Arabidopsis thaliana: one gene and its partner. The protein of the gene in region 2 interacts with the protein of the main gene of each other region in a pairwise test. Each region holds a gene or a part of one and is shown on either strand. Other genes may lie near its edges.

Region 1 (4,472 bases), on a different chromosome or scaffold from region 2:
AGGCTGACATTGAGATAGTTTGTTTTATTTAGATTAAGAACTAAATCTAGGACCTTGCTCAATTATCCTTGTTATAATTAAGATACTGAGCCTGTAGTAGCTAAGGGAATATAAGCTTCTTTTTAAAAAAAAAATCTAATCTTGTGCTACACCTTGACCAATCCATATGTCAATTTCATTCCAACGAAATGTCCTGAAAGAATCCTTTGTATATTTGATCTCTTACTCTCCTTTTTCCCCCCAAAATGCAGCAACATGAACGAGGTGGTTGACAAATTCAACACTGCATACGACAAACACAGCCGAAGAGGTGGTAGGACTGCGTTCATGTAAAGATTAGTTTCAATGTAAAAAAACCTTTTCTTTCTTTTGGTGGTCTGGTCCCTAAGTGAAAATTTAGAACTCTTTTAAGGCATTTCACTTTTCGGAACCAAACAAACAGCTAGGAAGCTTTTCTTCTGTTTAAGCTTTGTCTAGACAGAAGCTAAGTTTAGGCCTAACTAAATTTTGCGACAAGACTGTAAAAACAAAACAGCTTTTACCTTCTCTCAATTTTTCATTTATTCAAAAATTTGAGCAATCAGTGAACAAAGAGATTTGTTTCATATCTGTCGTAATCTACTCAACATCTCTCTGCATATCAATGAGCTCGCTGACAAATCAAGTCCCTGTTGTGGTGACACTGGTTCCACCTTCGGCTGTGCTGCTAACTGCAACATTAGGCCAGTTGGATCCCCAATGTCAGGCGCCTGCAGGCTGGTAAGCTTCTCTTGCCCAATAGTTAGACCAGGCATTGAAAGATCAGAAAGCTCAGATTGGCCTATGTAAACGGAGAAACCTGTAGGATGCCTCAGGTGTGACTGGAAGTCAAATAGAGATGAGTTGGCTGTGGCCAGTCCCTCAGATCTACTGTGTGGCATTGGATAGTGCACATTGTGGTTGTGGGTCTGAGTCGCTAAACTGCCTTGGAGAGTCCCTGAACTGCCTGCACCGACGTGGCTGCTGTTGCGTGCTGCTGGTACAACGTGGGTGTGCTTGCCTATATAAGTTGTTAGTACGCTCTTGAAGTCATCAGAGGCTCTCTCTACATGCTTCGTTACGGTACATCCATTAGCTGTGCATTTATAGTAGCTCCTGAAAACATAGAAAACTGATTTTATTAAATTCAACAAAGGGATAGCAGCAGAACAGAGCATTTGGATACAAGAACCTTGGATTCGGGTTTCCTTTAACGACTTTTTGCCCATACTTGCGCCAGCGATAACCATCATCGAGGATGTCAATGTCACTTGTGGTCTGCACCACAACTCTTGGCTCACGGCTGGCTCTGGTTGATCCACTCGTTTCTGTTGCATAAGCTTCTAGTTTCCTGATACGGGAATGCCATCAGAGCTCAGAAGTCAGAACGTCTTGTCTTTCTAAGTATTATAATGGTTACTAGAGCAACTTTTTATACCTTCTCTTTGATTCGGACTCTTCTACCTCTCCATCGTAAGTCAGGGAAACACTCATGTGGGACGTGCGATCATCTTCGTTTTCATCTCTATATAAGGCATCAGCTGCTGCATCACCATACCCGAACTGATGAGTCCCGTTTTGAACCTGCATTGATCCTGAATGGCTTCCGTATTCGAGCTCTGCAGATACAGGTGATGTCCATTCTATGTTCTCATTGGTTCCAGCAAAACCTTCGTATTCGGTTGCATCTATTTGCATGTCTTGGCCAGTACCGGATGATCCAATCCCTGACCGGCGGTTAGGTGGAGGTTTGCTGTGTATATGATCTCCTGTGTATATGATCTCTATAATATGACCTTCCCGAGACCGTTCAACCTTCTTCTTGGCCTCACAATTCGGGTGCGTGCACTTGTAATAGCTCCGCGGATACTCACTTCCTTTAACTAGCTTTTGTCCATATTTTCTCCAGTTGTATCCATCATCTGCAGGTGCACAACAAGCCATCGAGTCTCCTAAACCGCCGAGCTGTCTTTCTTCATAGTCTTGGGAATCATCGGGTTCTAAAGCGATGTTAGTAGGATCAAGGCCACTTCCTGAAATGGTTTGGAAGGCTAAGGATGTGGTAATGTCGTCAAATAACTCAGCTTTAGCCTTATCAGAAGGTACTGATGAGAGCTTCCCGGTTGTTGGAGATAGCTGAGCTTACAAATGATAAGAGATTTTAGAGCACTGATTCACGAAAGAGAGAGACCATAATGAAATGTTGAAAAGAAAAAGTTACCAAAGGGTTTGAGAGGAAAACAGGAGACTCTAACAGAGTTGCAGGACTAAGACCAGGAGAAGAGATGGTTAAAGATTTCGACTGAAGAATATCCTCAGTGTTTAACCACGGTGCATTAAACCCGGATCTCGCAGCAATCCTTTCACGAAGAGCTCCTCGTGAACTTTCTTGAAAGGTGGTTTGCAAAGAATCCTCATTCTTGATGTAATTTAAAGAAAACTCTCTACCAAGTTCCGCTTTCGATCTCTTCCTGTGGTTAGTAGTACTACAGTCGAACCATTCTCCCATTACAGCAGCTTTATTATCAATACCAGCCATTGCAAACCCAAGTTTCAGCTTTAACTTGGGCTCAAGCTGAAACGTGATTAGGTGTTACATATATGACACAGAGCAGTTAACATGGAACTAAAATCTTAAAAAATTATTGTAATTAAAATGGAAACAGAGCAGTTTTTTTTATATGCAATAAGTCTTTTGATGGAGATACAAGAGTGATTAATACCTTATAACAATGAAGATAAAAGAGTGCTTAATACCTGATTTACTAATATACATGCAATAAGTGACACCCATCAGACTTTTTATTTCGCCGTTTAGACAGTAAGAGAGATCGAAACATCGAAACATGGACTTGTCTATGTCTCTCTGTTTTTATGGGTTGATCACACAAAATGATCAATATAATAAATCTTCTGTAGTAGAAATCTCTTGCTCTTGCTCTCTCTCTCTCTCGTTCTTGATTATCGTTTACCCTCAACACAATGAAAATGTATATCGGCAGAAAAACTACAAGAGATTTACACAGCTTGGTTAGATAAAATTTCTCCTTAACTCTCTAACAAACAAAAAAGTTTCAATTTGTTTTCTCCAATTGTGTTAATTAATCAGTTCCACAAAAATCACCAACAGTTTAACTATTTTTAGAAATAGAGTTTTGTGCAAAACAACCTTCAACTTTATAAACGTTTTCAAATTATTTTTTATTTTTATTTTTTTGGTAAAAGTAGACAGTGCTGTGCCCAATGACGTAAATGTTGAAGTTACAAAAATAGATGATTTTGAAGATATTTTTACACAAAACCCTTAGAAATATACATTATACTTTCTTTTCTCTAAACAGACACCTATAAGATATGAAATACCATTTATTTGTGTTTAGTCTTCTTATGTATATGGTAAGCTATATCTTTCATATAGTCTAATCAGTGCATGTCCATCAATAATACCATGCATGAGCCTTCCTCCAACTATTCACAACAGGAGCTGAATATTAAACTGGCAAATTGATGTTCTACCATATATACCTATTATATCACAACCAGCATAGTCTATAGTGGTTTTACTATAGCTAATGTAATTAGTACTAATTAAAGCTAGTTGTTAGAAAAACATGAGCAAAAAATCTAATTTGCAAACTATATTTAGTATATAAGTGATTAAGTTACAATAATCAATTAATAGAAATACTTTTTTCAATAATATTCCAACCACAGAAAAAACCAATTTCTATCATTTTGGCAGATAAACTTGGTTTCGCTAGTTTGTTAAACGAACTAGCAGTATAGCTTATTTGTTTTTGTTTATATATAGAAGAAACTCAAGCCAGTTGGGTTACCTATCTTGTTTATGAATTTTCGTTAATGTTTGCAATATTTCTGATTTTTTGTGAAAGACTAAATTGTAGAATTGTATCCACATTTTATTCTTTCCGTTCATGTCGTAGATTTTTAGTTTATGTTTCGGTCAACAAGTCGTGGAGTTAAAATATACTATACAATAAACTGAAAGTTCAAATGGAATGGGGTTCACCAACTTTTTAATTTACTTATTCTTGTGGTCACTTTCTTTCAAAATGTACTAAATAATTTTATATATTCTCATAATGTCTAAATATAAACAATAAATATGAATATGAAAATAAACATAAATATGAAAATAATTTTTCTTTTATAAAAGAATTAATAAACTAACGATAAGTGATTATAAAAAATATATGTCTTTGGAAACCAAACAAAATAGTTTAGGCTTCAATCCCATTAAATTCTCATCTAAAATTGATGCATGTAGCATGTAGATATGATCATGACAAAACGATGATTTACAAATTTTTATTTTTCATTTGTTCGTCATAAATATTTGATCGTTTATGATAATATTATTATTAGACATGACTGATTGTTATTGCACAAATAATTTACATTGTATATAGAATTTGCATCGCATTTTTATTTGC
Region 2 (3,223 bases):
TTCCCGACGCATAATAATTTGGTTCCATTAAATATGACAGTGCCTAAACAATAACAATAGGCAGAGTTAGATCCAAATGTTAGCTACATGATGCAATAGTACGCGTGCGGTGGTGTGTTTACGCGTGATCCTATAATCTCGAGGTCTCAGCTTTTCCAATTTAAAATTCTATATAAGTTTTGGCTTGTGACTTGTTGCTCGGGCTTTCATCCGTACAAATGTGTTTACTTCATCTTACCTGATGATATTTGGGCTCATTTTTGGGCTTACCAGGATTACTGATAGCATCTGGACCAGATTTTTTCTTTCTTTCTTAATTTCTAGTTAGAACCCATAAGGAAATATTTGTGTGTTACAAGCTAACATGTGGTGTTGCACAAGATTTTGTTGGTGCATATTGTGCATCAAATGGAGATTCTAGTTAAAACTCACTAGAAAAATTGAATGAAAACTGCTAAAAAAAACGAAAAAAAAAAAAAAATTACAATCTAAGCTAAGGAAAAAGGACTACAAGAGTGGTTTTGGGGTTGGATTAAGTTTTTTATTTGTTTTCGATTCTCTGGGTATGGTAAGCCCTTTGAATAAGATGATAAGTGTGAGTTATATCATGCTGGTGAAAGTATATTATAATCTATGTATGTACCAACTAGTAGTTGCTAATAGGTCTTTAACGGATCGATGAGGACAAAGAGGCTGACTTTGTAAGTCTTGTGACTCTTGTTATTTCACAAAACTATTTTGGTTTAACAACATTGATACAAAACAAAAACAAAAAAACTATTTTGGTTTAGTAATGGAAAGTTTAATATGTACAAAAAGGCTTTTGACTTTTGATAAACAATAAGTGTTTTACAAGTTGTGTTCGATTTCTCATCGGACATGGAGTATTATAGTTAATTAAGCGGACAAAAAAACAAATATATTTTGTATACTTGTAGTTAGGAAACTGTGTTAAATAGCCCGAGCTACTTGTTAGTTGTTGCAATCATTGAACGTATCGATGATTGTTAGCCGAAACTCGTACATCTTTTTTTCTCGAAGAAAAGAAGTTTCATACATTTTTTCATTACAGAACATTTATCTTCTTTTCAAGCAAAAATTCAGAGTAGGAGGATATTGATATTCACATACAAGAAGCTCAATTAGCCGATTCTGTCTAAAAATAGGTACGTAAGATTTTAAATTGCCCAATTGCAAAAGAAATATCGTCTGTTGTTTATTTATTTCAACAGGGTGAATTAATGTATATATACAAGAAAACAATGTCCATGATATAATTTATAATACCCAGCAATTTGGGGATAACAAATAGATTAATGGTTTCAGCTGCCTGTAAGTAGGTTTAATTATTTATTTTATACTTTTAAAAGCCGATAGTTTTGAACATTTTCATAAATTTCTTATTACGTAAAAGGAGAGAAGTAAATCCATTTCAACCATCTGCAGCCAACCTTGCATGGTCACAGCCAGTAATATTCAAAGATGACCAAATATGAAGACATCTCCACCAAAATAATATTGCAATTTATTTCTGAAATAACTAAAATCGCTTGAACTATATTTTAAATTTTTGAAGAAGTGGAAAAGTTGCAAAGGGGAATGCTTGCAATTTCATATAAAAAAAGAGCAATTCAAGATTTTCGGCCCTTGAGTTTTTGATGTGTTAGAAATTAATAATCAACAGGATATACCTGAGGCATGTTATAATACTATTCAACGACAACGGCCGTTTTACTATAAAACTGTAATCGTAAATAAATAAAGTCAACGGTCAGAATCGTTGGCTGCAATAAAATACGATTTATTTAGTTTTAACCATACTTACACGCAAATGTAATTCTACATATATACGTATTATATCAACAAGAACTCTGTTTATTTTCAAAGCTTTCTTGATCTTTCATTCTCCATTCTCTTGATATATTCACCTACCATGATTCCAACAAGATGCAATGAGATCAACGGCTCACGTCCTTCGTCGCTAAAACTCGCCGGAGAATCCCACACCATCAAGAAAACGTCGTCTTGCAAGTCGAAGCCACGACCACATGGACGGGCATCTCCGGTTATCATCTACGCGCATTCTCCAAAAGTGATCCACACGCGTGCCGAAGACTTCATGGCCCTGGTTCAAAGGCTGACGGGTCTAGACGAGATTATTAGACGGAACACTAGTGAATCTTCCTCTTCTGTTGTGACGGAAGAGGTTAACGTCGGGGATGATAACACGGCGGCTCCGTTTAGTCAGGATAGAACACAACGACAGAAGTTAACTGATATGCCGTTGTTCACACCGAGCTCGATGACCTTGTTTGGTTCTCCAACTCAACTTATGTATATGTCACCGAACCGGACCGATTCATTTCGACCCTTGGTTTTTAAGTCCGAATAAGACTTCTTAGCAAAAAAAAAAAAAAGTTCCAATAAGACTTCCCATAAAATATGCTTTTATGATTTCTATTTTATATGTATACAATTGGTTTGTTCATTCGTTCGTTCATAAGTTGTTTCACTGTGATTAGTTGGTGTAAATGTCACTTAACTTTACAAACTAAAAACAATGTCACTTAATATCTGTATTTGGTTGTTTTAAACATGAAAGTTAAGGGTTTACCTGTTCTTTTTACATAAATTATTCCATAAATCTCAGCGACAACGTGTGGGCTTCAACAAAATATTTGAAGACCAGAAATGCATTATTGGGCTTCGCATTAAAATGAGCTTCAAGCTCATCTTAGAAAGTTTTTCTAATGACGGTCTATGTGCCATCTTAACAATTCTTTGAGGAAGTTTTATAACTAGAAAAAATGTAAAACTGAAGGTGGAGATGAGTATTAGTTATTTTTATTGATTTCTAGTAGCCTCCCCAAAGTAAAACAGTAGTAGAAATTTTGGAAACATTAAAACCAAGTAGAAAAAACTGGAAACTAATGGCATACAATTAAATAAATTGTGTTTTATTTTGTTAAGTGTAGCATGTTCACCTCAACAAATTGATAGTTCATCTGAAACTGAGACCATCAGGAGAGGCTAAAAAAAGAGTCCTTTTCTTGATATAATTTTGTTATAGACCTTTAGGGCCCTCTTCCTGAGCCCAAATAACTTATTAAAACATATTTATCTCTATATTTGTCATATATAGATCCTAGGCCCGTTATCAACATGCCATGTTGACAAAAAAAAAAAAAAAAAATCATTCATGCCACTATGTTTTTTCCCCCCA

What was found.
Region 1: the proteins of PDE337 (region 2) and WRKY34 interact in a two-hybrid assay, tested with the Arabidopsis thaliana proteins (one large-scale study listed by BioGRID).

Annotation. Positions count from the first base shown.
Region 1 is NC_003075.7:13,356,994-13,361,465, forward strand, and holds WRKY34 (WRKY DNA-binding protein 34), read right to left. Parts: upstream 2,559-4,472; 5' UTR 2,558-2,558; coding exon 2,240-2,557; intron 2,155-2,239; coding exon 1,457-2,154; intron 1,370-1,456; coding exon 1,211-1,369; intron 1,135-1,210; coding exon 603-1,134; downstream 1-602. Other genes in the region: CSN6B (COP9 signalosome subunit 6B), read left to right, coding at 252-333. UniProt on the Arabidopsis thaliana protein: Transcription factor. Interacts specifically with the W box (5'-(T)TGAC[CT]-3'), a frequently occurring elicitor-responsive cis-acting element.
Region 2 is NC_003070.9:25,660,890-25,664,112, reverse strand, and holds PDE337 (VQ motif-containing protein), read left to right. Parts: upstream 1-1,836; 5' UTR 1,837-1,933; coding exon 1,934-2,392; 3' UTR 2,393-2,626; downstream 2,627-3,223.